2 linked regions of the Rhinolophus ferrumequinum genome follow. The protein of the gene in region 1 interacts with the protein of each later gene in a biochemical or structural test. Links are inferred from orthologs where the notes say so. Each region holds a gene or a part of one and is shown on either strand. Other genes may lie near its edges.

Evidence for each region. The genes of interacting proteins can lie anywhere in the genome.
Region 2: the proteins of ERBIN (region 1) and KCNA4 interact in a test that uses a peptide from one of them, tested with the Homo sapiens proteins (3 studies listed by BioGRID and IntAct, with this or other methods). The link is inferred for Rhinolophus ferrumequinum from reciprocal best matches to the Homo sapiens genes ERBIN and KCNA4.

Annotation. Positions count from the first base shown.
Region 1 is NC_046290.1:42,188,438-42,196,183, forward strand, and holds the start of ERBIN (erbin), read left to right. Parts: upstream 1-4,740; 5' UTR 4,741-5,003; intron 5,004-7,746. UniProt on the Homo sapiens protein: Acts as an adapter for the receptor ERBB2, in epithelia. By binding the unphosphorylated 'Tyr-1248' of receptor ERBB2, it may contribute to stabilize this unphosphorylated state.
Region 2 is NC_046294.1:26,997,029-27,004,553, reverse strand, and holds the start of KCNA4 (potassium voltage-gated channel subfamily A member 4), read right to left. Parts: upstream 3,001-7,525; 5' UTR 2,561-3,000; intron 1-2,560. UniProt on the Homo sapiens protein: Voltage-gated potassium channel that mediates transmembrane potassium transport in excitable membranes. Forms tetrameric potassium-selective channels through which potassium ions pass in accordance with their electrochemical gradient.

The DNA of each region.
Region 1 (7,746 bases):
GTTATCAATGTCTATTAACTCTCTAAAGTATTCTAGTTTGGATGATACACTATATGAGGGAAGCATAGTATATATTGTCAGTGCATTTTAAAGTGCATTGCTAATAACAGCTAACACTTTTGAGTCTGCAAAGCACTGTGCTAAGCACTTTTTGAGCATTGTCCCATGTAAGTAGTTCTCCGAACAAGCTATGAGGCTGTTAGTATTGTAGTCCCCCAAAAGGTAAGGAAACTCAACTTTGTTTATTATAGATGTTAAAGAACTTGCCCAAGGTCACCAAGCCAAGTTTCTAAGTCAAGCAGTCTTGTTTCAGAGGTCACACAAATAATCACCATGCATTATTTATTTTTTCCACACTTAAAAAAAAAATTGTAAGCCATCTGAAAGAAATTTAATTTTGCTAGGCTACAAAATGTATATGATAGAAAAAAATGTTATCAAGCATATACTAGGGGGAAAAACATCAAAATTTTTTTAAAAAAGTTTTTCACAAATAGAGGCAGACTTCTCTGTGATTCATAAAGTATCATTGAAAATCTCTGAAGGCTGAAACATGCTATAGGAGGGATGATGACATCCCCAAAGTATTATAAAATCCTTAATTTTTGTTCTTGCATGTACTGCCTCTTTTGAGCCCAAGCTCGGTTCCCTGCACACTTGCCACTCTAACCTCTTGCCCTTTCTACCAAGGGGATAAGATGGACGTGAAAATAGGGAAGTCAGTCCCTATGATCTAATTTATCTAATGCTTCTAAACTTTTTTTTGAATCTAACTCTAATCTGGACCAAAGATTAATTTTTCCCCAAATTCTGCGATAAAAACTTCGGTTTTAGGTAACCAATTCTTTACTAGGTGTTGAGGAAGACAGAAAAGAAGAATGATCATCCTAATCTCTTCCTTGTCTCCTGCTTACTGTCTCCATAATGCTTCTGCACAGCTGCTTGACTGTCGTGGGGAAATAACAGGGGGACCTTTTTTAAAGCAGTGGATAGGTGCTCTGCTAAGACACTTTTTCTGATGGATGCTGTGTGCATTCTCTGGAATGCGTTTGGCAAGGTCTTGAAGCTTCCATTCAGATATGTGGCTTTATCTCTAGTAGGCAGTAATTCCTCTCCTGAACCCAGATATTGGGAAGGGAAATCTCAAAGAATTCCCTGTCTTTCACAGACAATTATTTAGAGAATCACAATGTGGAAGATAAAGCTATACTATCAACAAATATTTATTAGCTTACTCTCTAAATTGGTCCTGGAGTTCAGTTAATTATTACAGAATCATGGTTTAGGCAGCCTTGTTTAACGTGGGGTTTCAGTTCTTTTAATCATAATTGAAACTGTTAAGTCCATCTTAAGTTCAACTGTGGGAGGATTTTCAAAGAAAACTAATCTATAAAGCACAGACCAGGAATGCCTTGTAATAAAAAACATGTGGAAGATTTGGCTATATCTGTATGTGCTGTTCATGAGTTGGAACTAAATAGTTGGCAATGAATAACAAAGATGAATTATTAGTCCTGATTATTGACTACCCTGACCATATACCGTGTTCTCCGGAAAAATAAGACCTAACCGAAAAATAAGCCCTAGCGTGATTTTTCAGGATGACATCCCCTGAACATAAGCCCTTGTGCGTCTTTTGGAGCCAAAATTAATATAAGCTCAGTCTTATTTTCGGGGCAACACGGTAGCTGTTATGTCACTTTTCTGTGTGAGCACAGATGAGTATTCCTGAAGATACGTTACAAAGGGATTTTTAAAGAAAAAATAGGTTATATTAACAAGCGCATCCTGTCTTCTATCCTTTTAAGACCAGTGTTTTGGGGATCTTACAGTATGAGTAAGTAGGACTTACATAACAATCAAATGGAATACTTTATTATCTATACTTCTGTTCTCTCCACATTGCCCTCTATTACATTTCCCTCTCCTACATACTCAGCCTCAGCATATGCTGTCTATATTCCTTCCCATCAAAGCTGCTTTAGGGAAACAATCTGATGAGTTAGATATAACTAACTAAAAGGCTTAGAATATTACCTTTCTCAGGATTATGGCTTTGTGATAGAGAAATATGCTAAAAGGAATTAAACTCTAGTGGCAAAATATCAGGTGAATTGGAGAAGGGGTTTTGGGTTATAGGGACTTTTCTAAGCTAAATGGTAATCAGCCTGATCCGTGCCCCAGATCAACTTAAATTTCCAAACAGGCTAGGGTCAGGACAGGTCCTAGCCTAAGGACTGGTCTAGTCCTATTCATTTAGGTTTGGGGTGGGGGCTGTTGGTTTACTAGAATATGATGCCACATTTGAAAGGATCTTGAATCAATCTGAGACGAAATGCATTATCTGTATCCCAAAATCCAGCTGGAGCTGGTATGGGAGATACTGCCACCCTGGGCAGATGGCTTTAGGGCAGTGATCCTTCCAGTTTAGAGCTATACCACTGAGTCTGGTTTGGGTCAGACCCAAACCAGTTGCTGAAAGTGGAATGGGAAATATTTTTTGTGATTAAAAATACAATAGGTTAACTTTAGAATTTATACAATGGCTAAGAGTCATGTTCACATAAAATGGATAACTAGCTTCGTATTACTAGTATACCCTGGTTGCCGTTTCGTTTCCTAGCTTCTAGTGTAATGCTGTCTTACCTCCAGTTCAGCACTGAATTAAGCCTGAACACTTTGGTACTGTGAACCTTCAGCCTCTGCTCTAAGTGAAGGAACTACCTGTGTTAATTTCAGCAGTTCTGGAAGTAGTTAAAATGCTCCCACCCCTAATAGAATGTCTTGAATATCTTTGGAGTTATTTCAAGTCTCAGTAACGTACAACTCTCTTCGGTAAACAATTCTCTGATGGACTTTATGAATTCCTTCTTTTGGATGCAAGCCAAAAATCATCTGTAGGGCATACAGCTCTTTATTCAAACTTGGTAATAAATAATTATCTCTGGAACACAGACGAAGAACTGAAATAGTGACTGCAGGGACACAGAAACTAATTACCATCACTGTACCCAGTTAAATACAGCAGACTGGGGGCGGGGAATGGTTTGTTCCGTATCTGTTACGTTCCTCCTCCGGGTAAAACAAGGCCGTCTTGTCTGTTAACATATTTGAAACAGTAACTGCAAAAACTGTGCAATGTTATGGTTGAGGCGTTTCTGCCATATGTGCTGATAGAAAGCTTAAGTTTCTTTCTGCAATAAACGCAAACCCTGCCAGGCTGAATTATCAGGGCCAGCGCAATTCAACGACTGCACCACCGAAACCACTGGCGGTGGAAGCCTGCGTCGCATTCGGAGTGTATCCAACGTTTCTTCTAACAAAGGCACTATCTCGAGGCAATTTCGCGGGCCGTTTTCCCCCTCCCCTCGCCAGCTTTGTCTCCCCGGCGGGTGAGGCTGAGACTTGGAGGAGCCCCAGCTGCGTTGCTGTGCGAACAAGCTCGGAGCAAGGGCCGGCGTGGGAAGCTCCACGGAGCTGCCGCTGTGGTTTCCTGCAAACTGAGCGTGCCATTAGAGGAAGTTGGAGTGCTGCAGTTGAAAGCGATACCCGCAGTCTTAAAATCGAGCTTGACTTGAACCCTGAGCACCGATAAGTGTCGTACGAAGAAACTCAAGCGACCGATCCAGCGGAGGTCAGCGGGCTCTCCGTCTTCCGGGCCGGGCGCGGAGCAGCCGGGGTCCGCGTCCTAAGCGCCCCCACTTAGGCTGCCGGGGAGCAGCAGACAGGCCTCCCCCTGCCGGGACCAGAGCGGGCCTCACGCGGCGCCTCGCACGCGAAGCCTCGGCCGCCGCCGGCCCCTCCCCCCGACCCCAGCCCCAGCCCCCGGCCGGTCGCCCCCTGCCGCCGCCGACGTCGGCCTGCGCCGCCCCCGCGAGCGGTGACTGGCTCGCGCCGGCCTCCAGCCCAGCTGCCGGCGGTTGGGGTGCAGCCAGCGGGAGGCCGCCCCGCCCCCGCCGCGGAGCCGCGGCGCGCAGCCTCTTCCCCCCGCCTCCTGGCCGCCGGGGCGGTGGCGCCGAAGCCGCGGCGGCCTGTGAGGCAGTAACTCTCCTCCGCCCCAGCCCCCTTCCTCCTCCTTTCTCTCCTCTCCCTGCCTCCCTCCCCTCGCTTCCCCTCCCCTCGCAGTCTCTCGCTCGAGTGAATGTGGCGCGGCGGCGCGGGACGCAGCCTCGGCCCCTGCCGCGGCCCCGCGAGCTCGTGAGGAGACGCAGCCGCCGCCCGCCCCCACCCCCTGCGCTTCCCGGGGGAGCCACCACAGCCGGGGCAGAAGAGGAGGGGAGCGAAGGGCCGGCGGCGGGAAACCGGGAGAGGGCGGAGAAGAGGGTTCGAGGGCAAGTAGGGAAGGCGGAGAGGGACGGCCAGAAGGACGGCCGGCCCGACGGACAGCCCGGGGAGGGGGCCGCCATCGAGCCAGCTCGGCCCCTCGGCTCCGGGTCCCGGCGGCGGCGCGGGCGTAGGGCGCGGCAGGCGCTATCGAGACAATAACCCCGCCGCCCGGCTCTGGGGGCGGCGGCCTAGTGCGGCCAAGGTCCGTCCAGCGTCCCGGCGGCGTCGGTGGCCCCGCCGGCTGGGTACTGTCACCGTCGGGAGTGCGGGGCGCGCGGGTCGCCCCGGGCCAGCGGCTCGCGGCGGACGCCCCCTCCCTGCCCCCTCGGCGCGCGCGGAGCTGGTTTTCCGGGTTCCCCTGGACGGAGCTGGATCCTGCTTCTCGCCAAGGCAGGAAGTGAGTTTCGCACGGTAATTCCGGGCGGTGTCACGAGTGAAAAGTTTTTTTTTTTCGGCGGAGATCCTAGTTGGGGCTGGGAAACTCCTGCAGAACTCGAAGACCAGCCCGCTTCCCAGCCCCCACCGGAGCAGCCTACTCGTCCTGCTGCGGGAGGCCACTCCACATCCGCTCTCACCGTAGAGAAATTCGGCTGGAGCCAAAGTGACTAACGAAGGGAAGGAAATCATGTCTGGCGAAACCTTGAAAAAGCTGCCCTGAGACACTGCCCGACTGAAAGGTAATTATCACGAAAAGTGTCTAGAAGTCACAAAGCTCCTGGGCCAGGAAAGAAAGAATACTTGAATGTTTTTCACTTTCCCCCACGTTGTCCTAATTCTTTTCTAATGTCGAACTGGATAATGTTTCAGGTGCTAAATAGAACTGATTTTTCCCCCCTTCCTACCATCTGGACTCTGGTTATTCTAGAAGAGCTTGTAAGAATGCAGTGGGACGAAAAGTTTTAAGCAATCAGAAGAAAGAGTGCCTTTGTTCAGCGCAAGGTCCAGACGTTTTAGTTTCCCGGAGCATATACAATGTATATTTTTTATTAAGTTGCTGAACCTGGCAACTTTTGTTTTGGAAGGAAGTTAGGTCGCTGCAGCGAGTGATTTGCTGTTGAGATGGCTGCCACATTTGTGTACACTGTTACCAGTTGGGCTTTGGCTTTTAATCGTACAGATATTTTTTTAGTTCAAACCCTTATAAATGTATGTCGTTGGATTTTGTAAACAAAAGAGGTTGCCATTCGTAGTCGTTTTTTCCAGGTAGGTAATATATTTCTTTAGTAACTTGTTTCTTTCAGACATTTAAAACCTTATAATACTTGTTTAATTAATTGAAAGCAAATGACTGCTAGATTTTTCTTGTAACTGAGTGGTGGAAAGAAAAAGGGAGTAAGTGTTAGGGATAAAGAGGGAGTTATAATTAAAAACACACTTGTAAGTTTGATTTGTTAGGACTTCTCTACACTTTAGAACAGAACATAGAGGAAGGGAAGTAAAACGTTTTAAAACGATTTTCATGGGTGTCACATTGTGGTAAATAGATGTGCTTTTTTGTATAGTACAGACAGTCTTTACATTTTTGTGTTGGTCCTAATGTTTTGGCCAGTTCAGCCTAGTAAGTGATAGGTACCTACTGTGGGGGCCGGAATTAGTGAAGCATGGGAAACTTTCCACCAGTCAGAGTTATAAACACTTGTGAACCAATCGGCAGTCTGTATGGATCAAACTAGTTTTGGTCGTAGCAAATACAAAATGTTTCTTTAGTGGTGTCTTTTAAAATTCAATTTTTTCCCCAGTACTTTGTGTTCAAGAGAGGTGACAGATAATACTGTGCTCCTGAATAATTATTAAATGAATGTGGTAGTCTGTTGGTAGGTGTTTCCTAAATATAAATTGTTCGGCTTGTTCATGTTCCATATTACCCCAAGAAAAATTGTCTTCTTTAGTTCAAAGAAGAGAAAGGCAGGTTTGAAAGAGCAAGCTCGAATTATTTCACAACTTGTTCTTTGTTACTTTATTACGTACATTTCAATTCTTGTAACTAATAATATATATAAATATATATTGCTATATATTAGTTGATGTATATTAATATATATAGTAATGCATTGTTTTGATTTTTACCCCCCAGACTTTAGCTTTTGGAGATCTTTTTTTCTTTTAAGTTGCTGGTAAGACTTGTAAACCATCAAGAAATTCCTGTTAAGTCAAAGTAGCTTTATCAGGGAATTTAAGTGCATAACTGATCTACTTTATGATTTTTGGAACGTATCATTAGGCAGTGAAAGGTTATTCTTGGGCATCTGAAAGAGCAGAGCAAAATAAATGGCATTGAACTTCAGTTTCCTTATATGGTTTATACTTGGCTTCAGAGCAACAAAGCCTTAATAGAGCGAGTCTTTTACAGAGAATTATCCTTTTTGAAGATGTTTCTCTGCATTAGTAAATTTTACATATGAAAAGTATTGTAGCACTCAAAAATAACTGCTTAAATCCCATTTTCTAGTTCTTGATTTTTTTTTTTCCTTGAGGGAGCAATAATAGTGTGTTGAGATGCAGACAACACATTTTTTAAAAGCGAGGTGTTCACCTTTGTAGTTGCCTTTAATTCCTTTTTTCCCCTAAACAAGCAAAATTTATTTTGGTTTCCTTAAAATTTTGTTAGTTTAGCACTGGATTAACTTAATGAATATTAGGCTTTATCCATTGCTAAACTATAAGTATTTTCAAAGCCTTGTTTAAAATGTGACAGTGATTTGAAAAAGAGGTTTTAAAAAAAGCGATAATAAATTAAAATATTTTTAAATGATTTCAAATTTTGGATCTTCTTAGTATTGTGTAGGTTTTCTTACATTAAGTTGGCAAGTCTAGAGCATTTCCAACGTTTGCTTATATTGCAAAAAATGCACATTTAATGGCACTGTTTATTAAAGGTACTTAGGAGTTTTCAATAGTGATAAACTTCATCCTTCAACTAATTAATTCAAGTATTATGAAGTCTGTCTGCTGTTTGAGAACAAGGTATTGCAAACTTTGCATGTAGCTTACAGAGATTCAAATATGGAAACCAAATTTTTATTGCATATTTCTTAATGAAGTGTAATTATAGACATTTACACATAACATTGGTAAATCTCTAAAATTCATTTACTTTAAAGATATTGGTACTGAGCTCTTGGTAATAAACACTACTTTTCTTTAATAAACATACTTTACATTTTCAGAAAATTAGGTGCATATTTAGACATTTAAATTATTGCTTATAGATAACATGATTTACAGTTTAAGCTGTTTTGGGCTTAGAAATAGATTATGGCAGTGTTTACAAAGTATTTGGGATAATGCAGAATTTTAGTGGTGTGGATATCAAAGTCATTTTCTTTTTGTAATTGCTATTATCTGGATTTTCTTTAAACATACTTTGATGCTTGCATTTTTACTTTGACTCTTTTCACTTGCCCATCCATTTCTCTCCCT
Region 2 (7,525 bases), on another chromosome or scaffold:
GCCTAGCACATCACCTTGTACACAATGGATACCAATAAACACTGGTTGTTATTGATAATGTGATAGTAACCTAAGTTTTTATTGTCTATCTACCCACCCACACATGTGTACCTCCTTGTACCACTGTCTGAAGTAGGGGAAGGACGGAACGTGAGGACATCCGGGACATTTTGAGACTCACCAGTGACCTATATTAAGTTGGCACTTCGTAACTCCCCAAAGCACATCCCTGTTGTTGTTTTCTGTTTCTCAGAGCCCAGAATGCTCCTTACCACCCACAGTCTAAGAGCTAATCCCAGTTTCCACTTCTCTAATAATCATCTTCTCTCTTTGCCATTCCTCTGTGTTCACTTCAGTGCTTCCTCCTACACTCTTCACAAGGAACTATCTCCTTATGTTTTAAGCCCCTGTTTGTGTGGACTTTGTTTTCAGCCTATCATACTCCACCCTCTATAATTTAATCCATAGCCCCCATCCCTCAACTCCCCACCTCCTCTCTCTCTGCCCACCTTTATTCCAATCTCCTACTTCCTGATGACAGCTTCCTTTCAGTCTGCCCTGTCCCCACTGCCTCTTGGTATTCCTGGCCTTTCTTCTTCTTTAGCATGCTCTCCCTAGGTCCCGCTAATTCATCTTGTCCACTGGGACCTGTAAAAGCTCCTGCCCCAATCTTCTGTCTACTCTTGCTTCTTCCATTCAACAGGACTTCTCTATCCAACAGGACTTCCAAGAATGCAGAAGAATGACCCAGAGAATTGGGGAGGATAATGACAGACAGAATTCAGGGCATCTATTTGCTTCTATTACTGGAAGCACTTGGGGAGCGTAAGAAAAATGGCTTTCTAGAGCCATTAACAGGATTCAGCTCTTGACCACCTGCTGCTCCTTGCTGAATCCTGCCAGCCAAAAAGCTGAAACACACCAAGTTTTATGAAGTGACAAGAGGGGAAGTGGCAAACACACATCATTTCTCAATCATATACATTCTCCTAGGGAAAGACGTGAGCTTGATTGGGGCACAAAACCCAGAAAATACACCTCTGAAGTTATCTCAAATGACATCCCTCTTCCTTTTTATGACTCATAACATCATCTCACACTCTAAAATGTTTACCCTCAGGAGATCTCCAAATCTCTATTTTTCACAGGGGAGAGTCAGGCCAACATCCTTTAAATTCTTTCACAGGCCAAATAGCCTGAGAGTTTGATCACTTACTTCCCCAACTCCTTCCAAGCAGTTATAATACACAATTTAAATAAAGCCCCAGTAAATTTGTACCTGTAAATCTGTACACTACGTACACCCCTCTCTCTTCCAACTGACTTCCAGAAATTCATGAATTAGAGGGTCTTCTCATTCACCATCAACTCTGTGAGAAGTCTAGACCTGCCCTCTTTTTGCTCTACACCACATAATTTCTTATTTATTTATTAGTTTTGTTGGTGTTGGTTTATCTCACGCCTTCCCCTACCCTACAAAAAGCAAATTACCTCCCTTTTAATTGGCTACCAGCTACCTCACTATCCCTAATCTTAAAGAAAAGTGAAGAACAAGAAAGAAGAAAAAAAGGAAGAAGAAGAAGAAGAAGAAGAAGAAGAAGAAGAAGAAGAAGAAGAAGAAGAAGAAGAAGAAGAAGAAGAAGAAGAATTAAAACAGAAAAAGAAGGAAAAAAATTATTCCACCCAGCAAACCAGGTTTAAAACCTCTCTTCCCTCTCAAGGTATTCATGTTAGGAGACTCTATTCAAGCCAACTCCCAGGAGCCTTCATGAGGGAGACTTTTGCAGGGAAATTTCCCTTCCTCTTTGACACCATAAAACTAACAGGACTGTGCAGATGACCAATTCCCCAGTCCCTGAAACCCCAAACAAGCTTTGCATCCCAGGCCTCCTCCTTCCACCCCCCACCCCCCACCCCCAACAACAAGGCTGTTTTCATCTCTCAGTGCTAATTCCTGCAACTGTCTTAGGGTGGTACCTGAACCTTATGGGGGGGGGGGGGGTTGGAGGGGGGAGACACTGAGAGAGAGACTGAGAGATTAAGAGACTGAGAGAGAGAATCAGAAAGACCAACACCGTAAGAAATATGCACTTCAGCGCACGCCATTTATACAGTCCCTATGTGTTGCTCAAATGCTCAGAAAATGCACGCAAATCCAAATGTGGGGAAAGGCAGCAATTCCAACCCGTTCACCAGCTGTTCCCCCAAAGGAAGGGAGCCGGTGAGTTGGGATGAGGCCAAACGATGCTCAACCTAAACCCAGCCTCTAAACGACATCTTTAATCGCACCTTCGCCTCTAGACCTAGGTTCCCGCTCGGCTACATTAAACAGGGCGCACGCACCCCATCCCTGGGGTTGGGAAAATAACAACTGTTGGCCCCCTGGAGCGCCGCGCAGCATCTGCACCTCCCTTCTCCCACCTCCTGGTTTATTTTTAACCGCCTTCCATTCATGCCCTTCTGTCACATTCCCGATATTATTTATCCCTCAAATGTCCACTGTTTTTCAACAGCCAAAAGAAGAGAGGGAAAAAAATGATCAGAGAGGCATCATACTTACCGTTCCCCGGCAGGGTGCAAAATAAAAATAAAGAATATCCCCCGGTTGGTTTTTATTTTCCCCCCTCAAGCTGCAACAGCTGGAGGAGGGGAACAATGATCTTGGGAGCAGAAAGAATCACGCCTGTGTGGCAGGTGGAGGCTCCAAAATATCCACGGAATAAGTTCTGTTGCCTGGCCAGGGGGGCACAGAGTGCTCGCTGCTGGAGCGCAGGGGTGGGCATCGGGGGTGCCCCAGGGAAGACCCTCAAGACTCCTGGCTCCTCTGGAGTTCAGCACAAAAGCGCTCGACTGGGAAAGGAAGCGAAGGTTCCCGAGAAAAAGAAACAAAATCCTAGACAGCAGCGATCACTTGTTAAGCCCGAATTCCTCCTCCAACACCCATCCCTCTCCCTCCCGGGCTGGCTGCAGCAGCAGCACACGCCTCCCCAGGCCGGGAACGCGCCGGCCGGGGGCGGGGCCAGGGCCGGGCCGAGGGTGTGGCGTTCAAGGCGGTCGCCTGGGGCGCCTCCCGCGCGGCTAGGCGGGCGCAGTCACGACTGCACGACTGCCCGCCTCCCCTTCTTGTCCGGCTCCCCGACGCCGAAACTCCGGGGAACGACTGGGAACCATTTCAGGAGCCCCTGGCTATCTCCCTCAGCGGAGAGACGCTAATCCCAGAGGGAGAGGTGTCCTTTTGGAGCTGAAATGGGGTCCCGACGGTAGAGCCGGATCCCCGAGAGAATTTGGGGGGGTGACCTCGACGGGAGGTCGTCTAGACCACAGGGTGCTTCTGGATGCCTTCTCTTCTCCCTGACCCGCTTTCTATACATCTATCCTGGCGCGGGCGCGCGCGCGCGCGCGCACACACACACACACACACACATACACACATACACACACACATACAACGGATTTGGGGGCTTGGGGGCTGGGTGTATCTCTGCCGAGGCCGCAGGCCAGGAGCCCTCCCGTCTCCTGCAAGCGCGCCCTGACCCCTGGATCTCCGCCTCCCTTGCACAATTTGTCGGCCTCAACTCGGGGGGTCAGGCCTCCAGGGCGCAGAGGAGACGGACTTGAAACGTGTTCCCCCCAGGTGAGGGGTGGGTTAAAGAAACTGGCATCAGGCCCAGTCTAAGGGTAGTGCACGCGAGGCGCAAGTCCCGTGGAAGAAAGTCGCAGGGCTCCGAGCTGGTTGCAAACATGTCTTGGGAGCGTGGGATCGGGGCGGGGGGTGGGCGGGTTGGAATAAGGGGAGGCGGCCTTCGTGAACCTGTTGCTGCAAAAAGAGATGGGACTCAGCCCGAGGTTTGGCTCCTGGGAAGTCTCTAAAGGGAGGTCTCTATCATAGCGGTCAGATCTCTAACACCACTCCACTGAAACCACAAAAAAGTACACCCCTTCTCCTCCCCGCGGTCAGGCGAGTGTACCCACAACGGAGTCCTCACCCCAGGATGGATTCTCAGGCTGGAATGTGAAATGCCCCTGGACCTGGATGTAAATATGCAATGCCCACAAATACACCAAGAGGAAGGACAGTGGTGGGAAATGCGAAATGTACAGGCACACAAGCTGATGCTCAGGTGACATCCTAGGCTCCGGGCACCTCTGCTCACTCCCCCTAATGGGCCAAGAAAGCAGTGGCAGCACACACCCGGACTGCTGGAGAAAAGGCGTCCTTGGGCGGGTCAGGTGGCATTGACGCTGCCACGGTAGTCCTCAGCTGGCAGCTTTGTTCGAGGGCCTTATTGGGCCTCCTCCTTTTGTGGAGCTTGATTAATTATTAAGAGAAATATTCCGGAGTTGAATTATAGATATGCCCTGTGCTCACTCACCTAACCACTGCTGGCTCCCCTTCCCACTGCTGGCTTTTCGTTCCTGTTTGATTTACAAAAAGAAAAATTAATAATAACAATAACTAAAATAATCACATTGTGATCAGTGAAAGGAAAACATGAAAGAAAAAAAAAGTGAAGTGCAACCTCACTTTTCCTAACTTATTCCAGCTAGTGCAGCTTGAACTTTTGTCATGAATAAATTTACCTGTGATCTCTTAGCTTCCACCCGGAGGTGGCGGAAGTAAGAGAAAGGTGCCTCCACGTGGTTCTCCAGAGGCTCTTTGCCTGGATACATTCCCCACTACCGGTCATTTGCAAGTATGGAGGGTGGATTTCTCTCAAAGAAAAAACCATCATGAGCAGTAGCCCCAAACCCTCTGTGCAGCTTCACAGCGTGAGGAAGGCACTGTGCAGTTTCATACCAAAAGCAAATAATTTGACTTTACAGTTGTCTCATCAGAATGATGTTTCTTGGGATAGTAGAGGGCAGGCCTGAGAGCACGGGATCTTGGGAGTAGTTTCCCAAAAGCAGATTGTGAGATCAATCATGAGAAACTGTGGTATGCTTTCAGGGAGATGCAACCTGAGATTGACTGACGTGTGAAAGATGGCAGTTATATGGAAGCTTGGAAATTTTAATGGGATTATGTTAAAACTTTAGGAATTATGCTTCCATGTGCCATTTATCGTCTGTTCCTATCACAGCCCAGAGAATATTTAAAAGTTTAAAATGCCTGGGGACTTTACAAATATGTGTACTTCTTAGGTGTCAGGAATCTGAATTACTAAAGCACAGGGAGGGTGCAGTCAAAGGCAGCGAAGGAAAAAACCACTCTCAGGAAGACATTCAGGTCATACAACACATACTTATTGAGAACGTGATCTAGACAGGTAACGCTCATGGAGTGCCCACTTAGGACCCAGTTCTGTGCTCCGTTCTTTACATGCATATTGTCTAATTTCATCTGACTAACGAAACACTCTGTGTGGCAGGTATTATTAAGATCACTATTTTATAAAGAAGGAAATTGAGGCTTCCAGTGGTTAACTAACTTGCCCAAAAGTTACGTAGCTAATTATGTAGCCGCACGGGGCCTTAAACATCTGACTCGCTGCACTGTGGACAAACCCCATGCTAGTGATGATAACACCACGTGGCCTATGCCCACTAGTCTTCACAAGCGAGTGGCTGTGTCAGAGGCACAGATTATGAAAACTAGAGAATGTGTGCTGTGATGGAGATGTGAGGATAGGTTCCTGGGGTGCAAAGGATGGAGAAGCACCTGACTGGGGAGAAGCAAGCACAGATTGACAAGGAAAGAAGAGCTGTGTCTGAAGAATGGTGAGAATTAGAGCCCCTGTTGAGGAGAATACAGGGGCACAGGGCACTGGGGTGGACCAAGAGTAACTGGAACCTGAGAGATAGGTAGGGTCCAACTGGGAATGGCACACTGGGACCCCAGCCTTCCCCCCTCCCCCCCCCCCTCTCTCTCTCTCTCTCTCTCTCTCTCTCTCTCTCTCACTCACACATACACACTGGCACACACACACACTCACAGACATATATACACACTCACACATTCACAGACACACACACTCTCATACTCACACATATACGCATACACAAAACTCTTTGCCCTTTTAAACAATTATAAAGCATTCAAAAAACAGTCCATTTCTTTCCGTGAAATCCTCTTAAGGATTCCTAGAAACCCACACAAACAGTAGTACAAAGATCCTTTAGCTTGTGACCAACAAAAATCTACCTGTCTCAATCCCAAACCTCTATTTCTTTTGGAGAGGAAAACATTATTTTCGTGCCTAGTCATCAGCTAGTCAAAATTTTTCAAGCGCTCCCCCTCCAAATACTCCTATTACAACAAATCTTTTCTCCCAGGCTTTACATTCTCTTAGTGGTGATACAGATGTTAAAGCCCGCATCTTGAAACCTTTGTTTACACAAAAAGGAGCACCTATCTTCCTTTGTACAAAGCAGATAGGAGGCCTTGTGAGATACAAACTAAGTCCATTAAAAATGCTTTTGTTCTCTTTGGGGACCATGGTCCCCAGTGAGTTGCAGCGTTCTGTTTACTCCTCCTCTCTTCACACAAGAAGCCCAGGACACCTTCCTGAAAATGTATTAAAATGAAAGAATAATGGAAACGGCTTCCATTTGCCAAGAACATTCAGTGCATGCGTTTGGGGAAAACTAAACGATGATCACTTTTTTTTTCCTGCTTACCCAGCCTCTCAACTATCTGACTTTTAAAGTTCTGAAGGTATGTGTCCTGGAGAACCTGACTCCATGCCTCCCAGTCCCAAATGCACGAATCGAATACAGATATTCTCAGCAGCCTATATTCCTTATAAACATGAGTCGCTCAGCTAGTTTTTTTCTTGTAGGTGAACTTTGCAATGACTGTTCACCACCACTTCCCATCCCATCTTATGATACCAGGACTGGTCAGGTCATAAGACATCGGAAAAGCATATTCCCTTCTTATTAAAATGAGAAAACATCAACCCTGGAGAGAGACACTGACTGCTGGCTTGCTTCCTGACTGATCACGTGCTGTGACAGGTGCAGTGGGAGTAAGGCAGCTTCTGTTTCTCCTGGGTGCACACTCTCAGCCCAGCAGGTGGGAACAGTCTGAAAGGTGTCACACCAGGGGCAGAGGGGAGCTGCACTTAATCGAGGTTGGAAAGAAAGGTTCTCAATGCAGAAGAAGCCACATGGCAAAGGCTTACGGGATGAGAAGGGCACGTGTGAGCATAAGCAAAGATACGCAGAGGATCCAATATGGAGCAGGAAAAGGTAAAGCGATGGTAACCTTAGATATGGCAACGCTCAGGAGTTTGAACTAGGGTCTAAGATACTACACTGCATGGAAGAACACTTTTCCCACTTCTACATACGGGACAGAGGTAGTTCACCCTCCCTTGGGCAAACCCAGATCAGCAGCTGTGACATCCCCTAAAAAAGACTGAGTTACAAGCATTCCTGGCCTTCCCGGCTCTTAGGGCATCCCTTTCTCCCCCATCTGTGACTGCATCTCGGGAGCCACAGGAGTGAAACTGAATTGGCCTCACCATAAGTCACCTCAGATTTAGTTTTCCAAATGCACATCAATGAAAACTGTCCTTCTTTA